2 linked regions of the Saccharomyces cerevisiae S288C genome follow. Changing the gene in region 1 together with any one later gene gives a genetic interaction. Each region holds a gene or a part of one and is shown on either strand. Other genes may lie near its edges.

Region 1 (3,755 bases):
AATTTTTTGCGCACAAAGTGGTGACGTACAAGTTCATCATTTCACGTGTGCAGCATAGTGTGGTATATTGTTTTTTTATATTTTATTTTTTATTTTTTTTTTTTTGCAGAAAACAGTGTTTGTATTATATGCTTTAGATATGCTAAAAAAAATGAAAAAAAATGGAACAAAATATGTGTTTTTTTATTTAACGTTAAAATTAAAGATTAAGTTATTTATTCGACGTCAGCATCAAAAGTTTGACCTTCAACTAACTCTGGAATAGCTTCATCCTTCTTTTCAGCATCAGCTGGAGCCTTGGCTTCGTGCTTTTCCATTTGGGCAGCCAATTGAGACAAGGCTTGGATGGCTTCAGGGCCCAATTGAGAGATAATACCTGGGAACAAATCTTGCAAGTTCTTTTCCTGTGGTAGACCGTAGAATACAGAAGTGTTGTGTTGAGCAGCAACTTGGACACCGACCTTGTTGAAGTGCATGACCTTACCGTCGTCCTTGAAAAAGTTGGCTTCGGCGACGTTGTCAATGGTGACAGCGTGCAACTTAGCTAATTGACTTTGCAACTTGGTGTCATCCTTGTTGGCACCGGCAGAAGAGCCTGCCTTCTTGTTAAGCTTTCTTCTAGTACCACCAACTTTGTTGTTAGCAGACAACTTTTGTAGCTTAGCTAATTTTTCTTGGTCAATTGGCATTATGAATTATGAGTCGCGTCTGGTGTGAGATGTTCTATTCTTAAACCTCCCTAGAAAGAATATTCGCTCTCTTGTGACAAAGGAGGGGTTACTACTTAACAAGCAATTGCAGCTGTTTCCACTACGAAATCTTCCAATGTCAACGAAAAAAATTCAAAAATTTTCTGCTTTTTTTTTCAACATCTGCCGTACTAAATGATTCCACAATAATCCATCATATACCATTACCCTGATTCCCATCGAAGAAAAGGCGGTGTCCCCTTACCCGTCCGCTCATGCCAAGAGATTAATTCATAACCGCTCTTCCTTGGATCAGAAGTGAACATATGAAGTTGCAACTACTACATACTTACTACCGTAGTCCATCATCAAGGACCCAAACATTCACGACTCCAGCGCGCCACGTTCTTCGCCATACTGCTTAACATTTTGGTACGAGTGCGAATTAGGGAAGTCGATGATAAAATAGAATATGCGAAAAAGAGGAAGAGCAGCCGTGAGAAAAAAGAAAAAAAAAGGCCTAAGGTATTCTCTACTCCAAAATCGTCGAGGGAGGGCAAAAGAAATTTTTTTTGTTTAAGGGAATTGCGAAGTCAATTGATTGATGAAGTAGCTTCTCTGGAAAAATGGCGGACAGACGCTGCTCAAATAACCGTCGAAGGGGGAAAGGTTATCGGTGGAAACATATTTGTAAGTACATAATAGTGAATTTACTTCTTGTCGGCGTCCCCTAAACGTAATTGGCGGTGTGATGGTACTTCGTTATATAAAGGTGTGTAATATCCTCTTTTACCATCTATTATTTCTTCCAGCATTTCTTGCTGGATAACCTACTGTATCCAAGCTACTGGGCTTTTTTAAACATACCCATAACTTTTTTTTTTTCATTTTTCGTTGCTGTGTGCTAGTACAATTTAAGCAAAAGGAAACTGTTTTGCGTTATGTCTTCCACTGAAGCAAAGCAATACAAGGAGAAACCCTCGAAAGAGTACCTCCATGCCAGTGATGGCGATGACCCTGCAAATAATTCTGCCGCTTCTTCGTCATCTTCGTCTTCTACATCAACTTCCGCCTCGTCATCGGCTGCAGCCGTTCCACGGAAGGCCGCAGCCGCTTCTGCCGCTGATGATTCTGACTCAGATGAAGATATAGACCAATTGATTGATGAACTACAATCTAACTACGGTGAGGGTGATGAATCTGGTGAAGAAGAAGTACGTACTGATGGGGTGCACGCTGGCCAAAGGGTTGTTCCTGAAAAGGACCTTTCTACGGACCCTGCGTATGGTTTGACTTCGGATGAAGTCGCCAGGAGAAGAAAGAAATATGGGTTAAATCAAATGGCTGAGGAGAATGAATCGTTGATTGTGAAGTTTTTGATGTTCTTCGTAGGGCCTATTCAATTCGTTATGGAGGCTGCTGCTATTTTGGCTGCCGGTTTGTCTGATTGGGTTGATGTCGGTGTCATCTGTGCTTTACTGCTATTAAACGCATCTGTCGGATTTATTCAAGAATTCCAGGCAGGTTCCATCGTAGACGAGCTGAAAAAGACGTTGGCCAATACTGCAACAGTTATTAGAGATGGCCAATTGATCGAAATTCCGGCTAATGAGGTAGTTCCTGGTGAGATTTTGCAATTGGAAAGTGGCACAATTGCTCCCGCAGATGGTCGTATTGTCACTGAAGACTGTTTTTTGCAGATCGATCAATCGGCCATCACTGGTGAATCCTTAGCCGCTGAAAAGCATTACGGTGATGAGGTGTTCTCCTCATCCACTGTGAAAACCGGCGAGGCTTTTATGGTTGTTACTGCCACTGGTGACAATACCTTCGTCGGTAGGGCTGCCGCCTTAGTGGGGCAGGCTTCCGGTGTAGAGGGCCATTTCACTGAAGTATTGAATGGAATTGGTATTATCTTACTTGTTCTAGTTATCGCTACTTTGTTGTTGGTCTGGACCGCATGTTTCTATAGAACGGTCGGTATTGTAAGCATTTTGAGATATACTTTGGGTATAACCATCATTGGTGTCCCAGTCGGTTTGCCAGCAGTTGTTACCACGACCATGGCTGTCGGTGCAGCTTACTTGGCTAAGAAGCAAGCCATTGTTCAAAAGTTATCTGCTATTGAATCCCTTGCTGGTGTTGAGATTTTATGTTCTGACAAGACTGGTACTTTAACCAAAAACAAGTTATCTTTACACGAACCCTACACTGTCGAAGGCGTTTCTCCGGACGACTTGATGTTGACCGCTTGTTTAGCTGCCTCTAGAAAGAAGAAAGGTTTGGATGCTATTGATAAGGCTTTTTTGAAGTCATTGATTGAGTATCCAAAAGCTAAAGACGCCCTGACCAAGTACAAAGTTTTGGAATTCCATCCGTTCGACCCTGTCTCAAAAAAGGTTACCGCTGTTGTAGAATCCCCAGAAGGTGAAAGAATTGTTTGTGTCAAGGGAGCCCCATTGTTTGTCTTGAAGACTGTTGAAGAAGATCACCCAATTCCGGAAGATGTGCATGAAAACTACGAAAATAAGGTTGCTGAACTAGCTTCTAGAGGTTTCCGTGCTTTAGGTGTTGCTAGAAAGAGAGGGGAAGGTCACTGGGAAATCTTGGGTGTTATGCCATGTATGGACCCCCCTAGAGATGACACCGCTCAAACAATCAATGAGGCCAGAAACCTTGGTTTGAGAATCAAGATGTTAACCGGTGACGCTGTTGGTATCGCGAAAGAAACGTGTAGGCAATTAGGACTTGGTACAAACATTTATAACGCAGAAAGGTTAGGTCTGGGAGGTGGAGGTGATATGCCTGGTTCAGAGTTGGCTGATTTTGTTGAAAATGCCGATGGTTTCGCAGAAGTTTTCCCACAGCATAAATACAGAGTCGTTGAAATCTTGCAAAACAGAGGTTACTTGGTTGCTATGACTGGTGATGGTGTTAACGATGCCCCATCTTTGAAGAAGGCTGATACTGGTATTGCTGTCGAAGGTGCTACCGATGCTGCCAGATCAGCCGCTGATATTGTTTTCTTGGCCCCTGGTCTCTCTGCTATTATTGATGCCTTAAAGA
Region 2 (3,755 bases), on another chromosome or scaffold:
ATATTCCTTAGAGAAAAAATTAGAGGACACAACTCGTGCGGTTTTAGTTAGGAGAAAGGCACTTTCAACTTTGGCTGAATCGCCAATTTTAGTTTCCGAAAAATTGCCCTTCAGAAATTATGATTATGATCGCGTTTTTGGAGCTTGCTGTGAAAATGTCATCGGCTATATGCCAATACCAGTTGGTGTAATTGGTCCATTAATTATTGATGGAACATCTTATCACATACCAATGGCAACCACGGAAGGTTGTTTAGTGGCTTCAGCTATGCGTGGTTGCAAAGCCATCAATGCTGGTGGTGGTGCAACAACTGTTTTAACCAAAGATGGTATGACTAGAGGCCCAGTCGTTCGTTTCCCTACTTTAATAAGATCTGGTGCCTGCAAGATATGGTTAGACTCGGAAGAGGGACAAAATTCAATTAAAAAAGCTTTTAATTCTACATCAAGGTTTGCACGTTTGCAACATATTCAAACCTGTCTAGCAGGCGATTTGCTTTTTATGAGATTTCGGACAACTACCGGTGACGCAATGGGTATGAACATGATATCGAAAGGTGTCGAATACTCTTTGAAACAAATGGTAGAAGAATATGGTTGGGAAGATATGGAAGTTGTCTCCGTATCTGGTAACTATTGTACTGATAAGAAACCTGCCGCAATCAATTGGATTGAAGGTCGTGGTAAAAGTGTCGTAGCTGAAGCTACTATTCCTGGTGATGTCGTAAAAAGTGTTTTAAAGAGCGATGTTTCCGCTTTAGTTGAATTAAATATATCCAAGAACTTGGTTGGATCCGCAATGGCTGGATCTGTTGGTGGTTTCAACGCGCACGCAGCTAATTTGGTCACTGCACTTTTCTTGGCATTAGGCCAAGATCCTGCGCAGAACGTCGAAAGTTCCAACTGTATAACTTTGATGAAGGAAGTTGATGGTGATTTAAGGATCTCTGTTTCCATGCCATCTATTGAAGTTGGTACGATTGGCGGGGGTACTGTTCTGGAGCCTCAGGGCGCCATGCTTGATCTTCTCGGCGTTCGTGGTCCTCACCCCACTGAACCTGGAGCAAATGCTAGGCAATTAGCTAGAATAATCGCGTGTGCTGTCTTGGCTGGTGAACTGTCTCTGTGCTCCGCACTTGCTGCCGGTCACCTGGTACAAAGCCATATGACTCACAACCGTAAAACAAACAAAGCCAATGAACTGCCACAACCAAGTAACAAAGGGCCCCCCTGTAAAACCTCAGCATTATTATAACTCTTGTAGTTTACATGGTGATACTTTATATCTTTGTATTGTCTAGCTATTCTAAATCATCTGCATGTAATAAGAAGTTGATCAAAATGACTCGCTGCGTAAAACCTCTCTTCGATCGGAGGTGCCGCCTAATTTATCGCCTAGCACTGCGCTTTTTCAAAGTTTTTCAGAGCAAAAAATGAAAAGTAATGAGCACAACAATAGAAGAGTATCATGATATATAAGGTCATAAAACTAGGTTTCAGGGGCTATCGGCAATTTGAGGAACCTTCAACCTGCCTCAAGTAAAAATCGCTTCGTAACATTAATACAAATTCTTTTTGCAATTATGGAAGGAAGATCAGATTTTGTGGCGACTTCACAGTCCGGAAGTGAAATGAGCCATAGTGAAACTAGGAATAGAACTGGGATGAATGCTAGGAAAAGGAAATTCGCCTGTGTGGAATGTCGTCAGCAGAAGTCGAAATGTGATGCTCACGAAAGAGCACCGGAGCCATGCACTAAGTGTGCTAAAAAGAATGTCCCATGCATTTTAAAACGAGATTTCAGAAGAACTTATAAAAGAGCAAGGAACGAAGCCATTGAAAAAAGATTCAAGGAACTCACCAGAACTTTGACAAATTTAACTTCGGATGAAATTTTGAAGAAAATTGAAGAGGAACAGGAAATTGTTTTGGATAACAGTAATTTCACAAAAGAAAAAGTAAAACAACTCAGGAAGAGTGCTTTTGAGACGACAGAAATAGAACCGAGATCATACAAAACACTTCGAGGAGAACCTATTTCTTACAGTACCAACAGAAGACATACGGATTCTTCTCCTTTAACGCTCTTAAGCTCGTCGACAAACTTCGACCCTGTTCACTCAACAAACGTTATGACAGATGATCAACTTAAGTGCTTGCCAAAAAGCCTGGGCGACGTATATTTGTCAAGCAGCGATATTGCTGAGCTGTTTCAAGAATTTGCGACAAAATATCATCAATTTTTACCCGTCGTTGACCTTTCGAAAGGAGCAGAGCGAATTTATCACTTATCTCCTTGCTTATTCTGGGTCATCCTGCTCATTGGTTTAAGGCGGAAATTTGGGGCTACAGACTTAATGACTCGATTATCAGTGCTAGTAAAGTCAGTTTTATCAGAAATCACAATATCTCCAATAATTCGATATACTCCATCAGATAAGGACGAACCCGTTCTAAATGTAGCATCTGTATATTCCGTGCAAGCATTTCTTTTATACACGTTCTGGCCTCCCTTAACCTCTTCATTAAGCGCCGACACTTCGTGGAATACCATAGGAACAGCGATGTTCCAAGCGCTTCGGGTAGGACTAAATTGTGCAGGTTTTTCAAAAGAGTATGCTTCGGCAAATTCAGAATTAGTTAACGAGCAAATACGAACTTGGATTTGCTGCAATGTTGTATCTCAAACAGTTGCATCATCATTTGGTTTCCCAGCTTATGTTTCATTTGATTATTTAGTAATCAGCTCTATTAGAGTACCAAATTCAAAAAGCCAAGTAGATATACCCAATGAACTAAGACAAATGGCTCAAATTGCTAGATTTGAGAACCAAATCGTAAACACAATGAACTCCACCCCGGCGAGTGTTACTGGGATGGTAAGTCAGGAAGAGAAGCAGCCCTTGTTACACGTTCTTAATCAACAACTAAGTCAATTGGAGATTAGTCTTGAAGAAAATAACCTAGATGATATCCGAAAATTTTTATTACTAGTGGCCAAGGTTCACTTATTAACCTATTACTTCACTGATGTTACCTCCCAAAGTGCTGGAAAATCAAATGGTAATATTTATGAGGGATCATATTCCATTATGGAACTCGATACAAGTTTTGAAACGAAACGTGGATTGGTGAAAGTTTATAATGCCGCCGTAAACTTTCTTATACATGCCAATAGTATGTGGGAACATGATCCTACCATTATTAAGTACTTTCCTGGTTTGTTTGTCTTGAATATATGGCAATCTGCCTGTATTATTAGTAAACTCATACATTCATCACTTCATTCAATGCTAGATGTTAACTCAGGCAAAAAAGCTTATAACAACGCAATTTCATTGACGTTTAATGCCTCAGTTTTAAAATATGATATGGCGTACAGATCATCCGGAATAATGCGAAGCATATGGAGTTTATTTGCTAATATGTATGATGCCTGGAAAAACGACCAAAAGGAAGGTGGAGGTAGACTAAATAATGATTTCAATTTAGGCATCACCATAAAATCTAGGATGTCAGTAAACGTTTTTTTTGACTGCTTATATATTCTAAAAGAGAAATGTGGTATGGCCAAATTGGAGAGAGAGACCAAGGTTTCTACAGCTTACAATGTTGATGAAGAGGAAGAGGAAGATGAAGATGAGGAGGGAGAAGAAGAAGAAGAAGAAGAAGAACTAAGTAGTAAAGTTCCAGAAAATATGGATAGCCAGCAACTAAGGACAAGGAAATTCACCAATGTAAGGCATCCAGAAAAG

What was found. Genes that interact genetically often act in the same process or in processes that back each other up.
Region 2: mutations in PMA2 (region 1) and LEU3 together harm fitness more than expected from each alone (negative genetic interaction), as found in Saccharomyces cerevisiae (2 studies listed by BioGRID).

What each region holds. Positions count from the first base shown.
Region 1 is NC_001148.4:481,213-484,967, forward strand, and holds the start of PMA2 (H(+)-exporting P2-type ATPase PMA2), read left to right. Parts: upstream 1-1,630; coding exon 1,631-3,755. Other genes in the region: EGD1 (Egd1p), read right to left, coding at 216-689. UniProt on the Saccharomyces cerevisiae protein: The plasma membrane ATPase of plants and fungi is a hydrogen ion pump. The proton gradient it generates drives the active transport of nutrients by H(+)-symport. The resulting external acidification and/or internal alkinization may mediate growth responses.
Region 2 is NC_001144.5:1,034,510-1,038,264, forward strand, and holds the start of LEU3 (leucine-responsive transcriptional regulator LEU3), read left to right. Parts: upstream 1-1,583; coding exon 1,584-3,755. Other genes in the region: hydroxymethylglutaryl-CoA reductase (NADPH) HMG2, read left to right, coding at 1-1,255. UniProt on the Saccharomyces cerevisiae protein: Factor for control of RNA levels of a group of leucine-specific genes.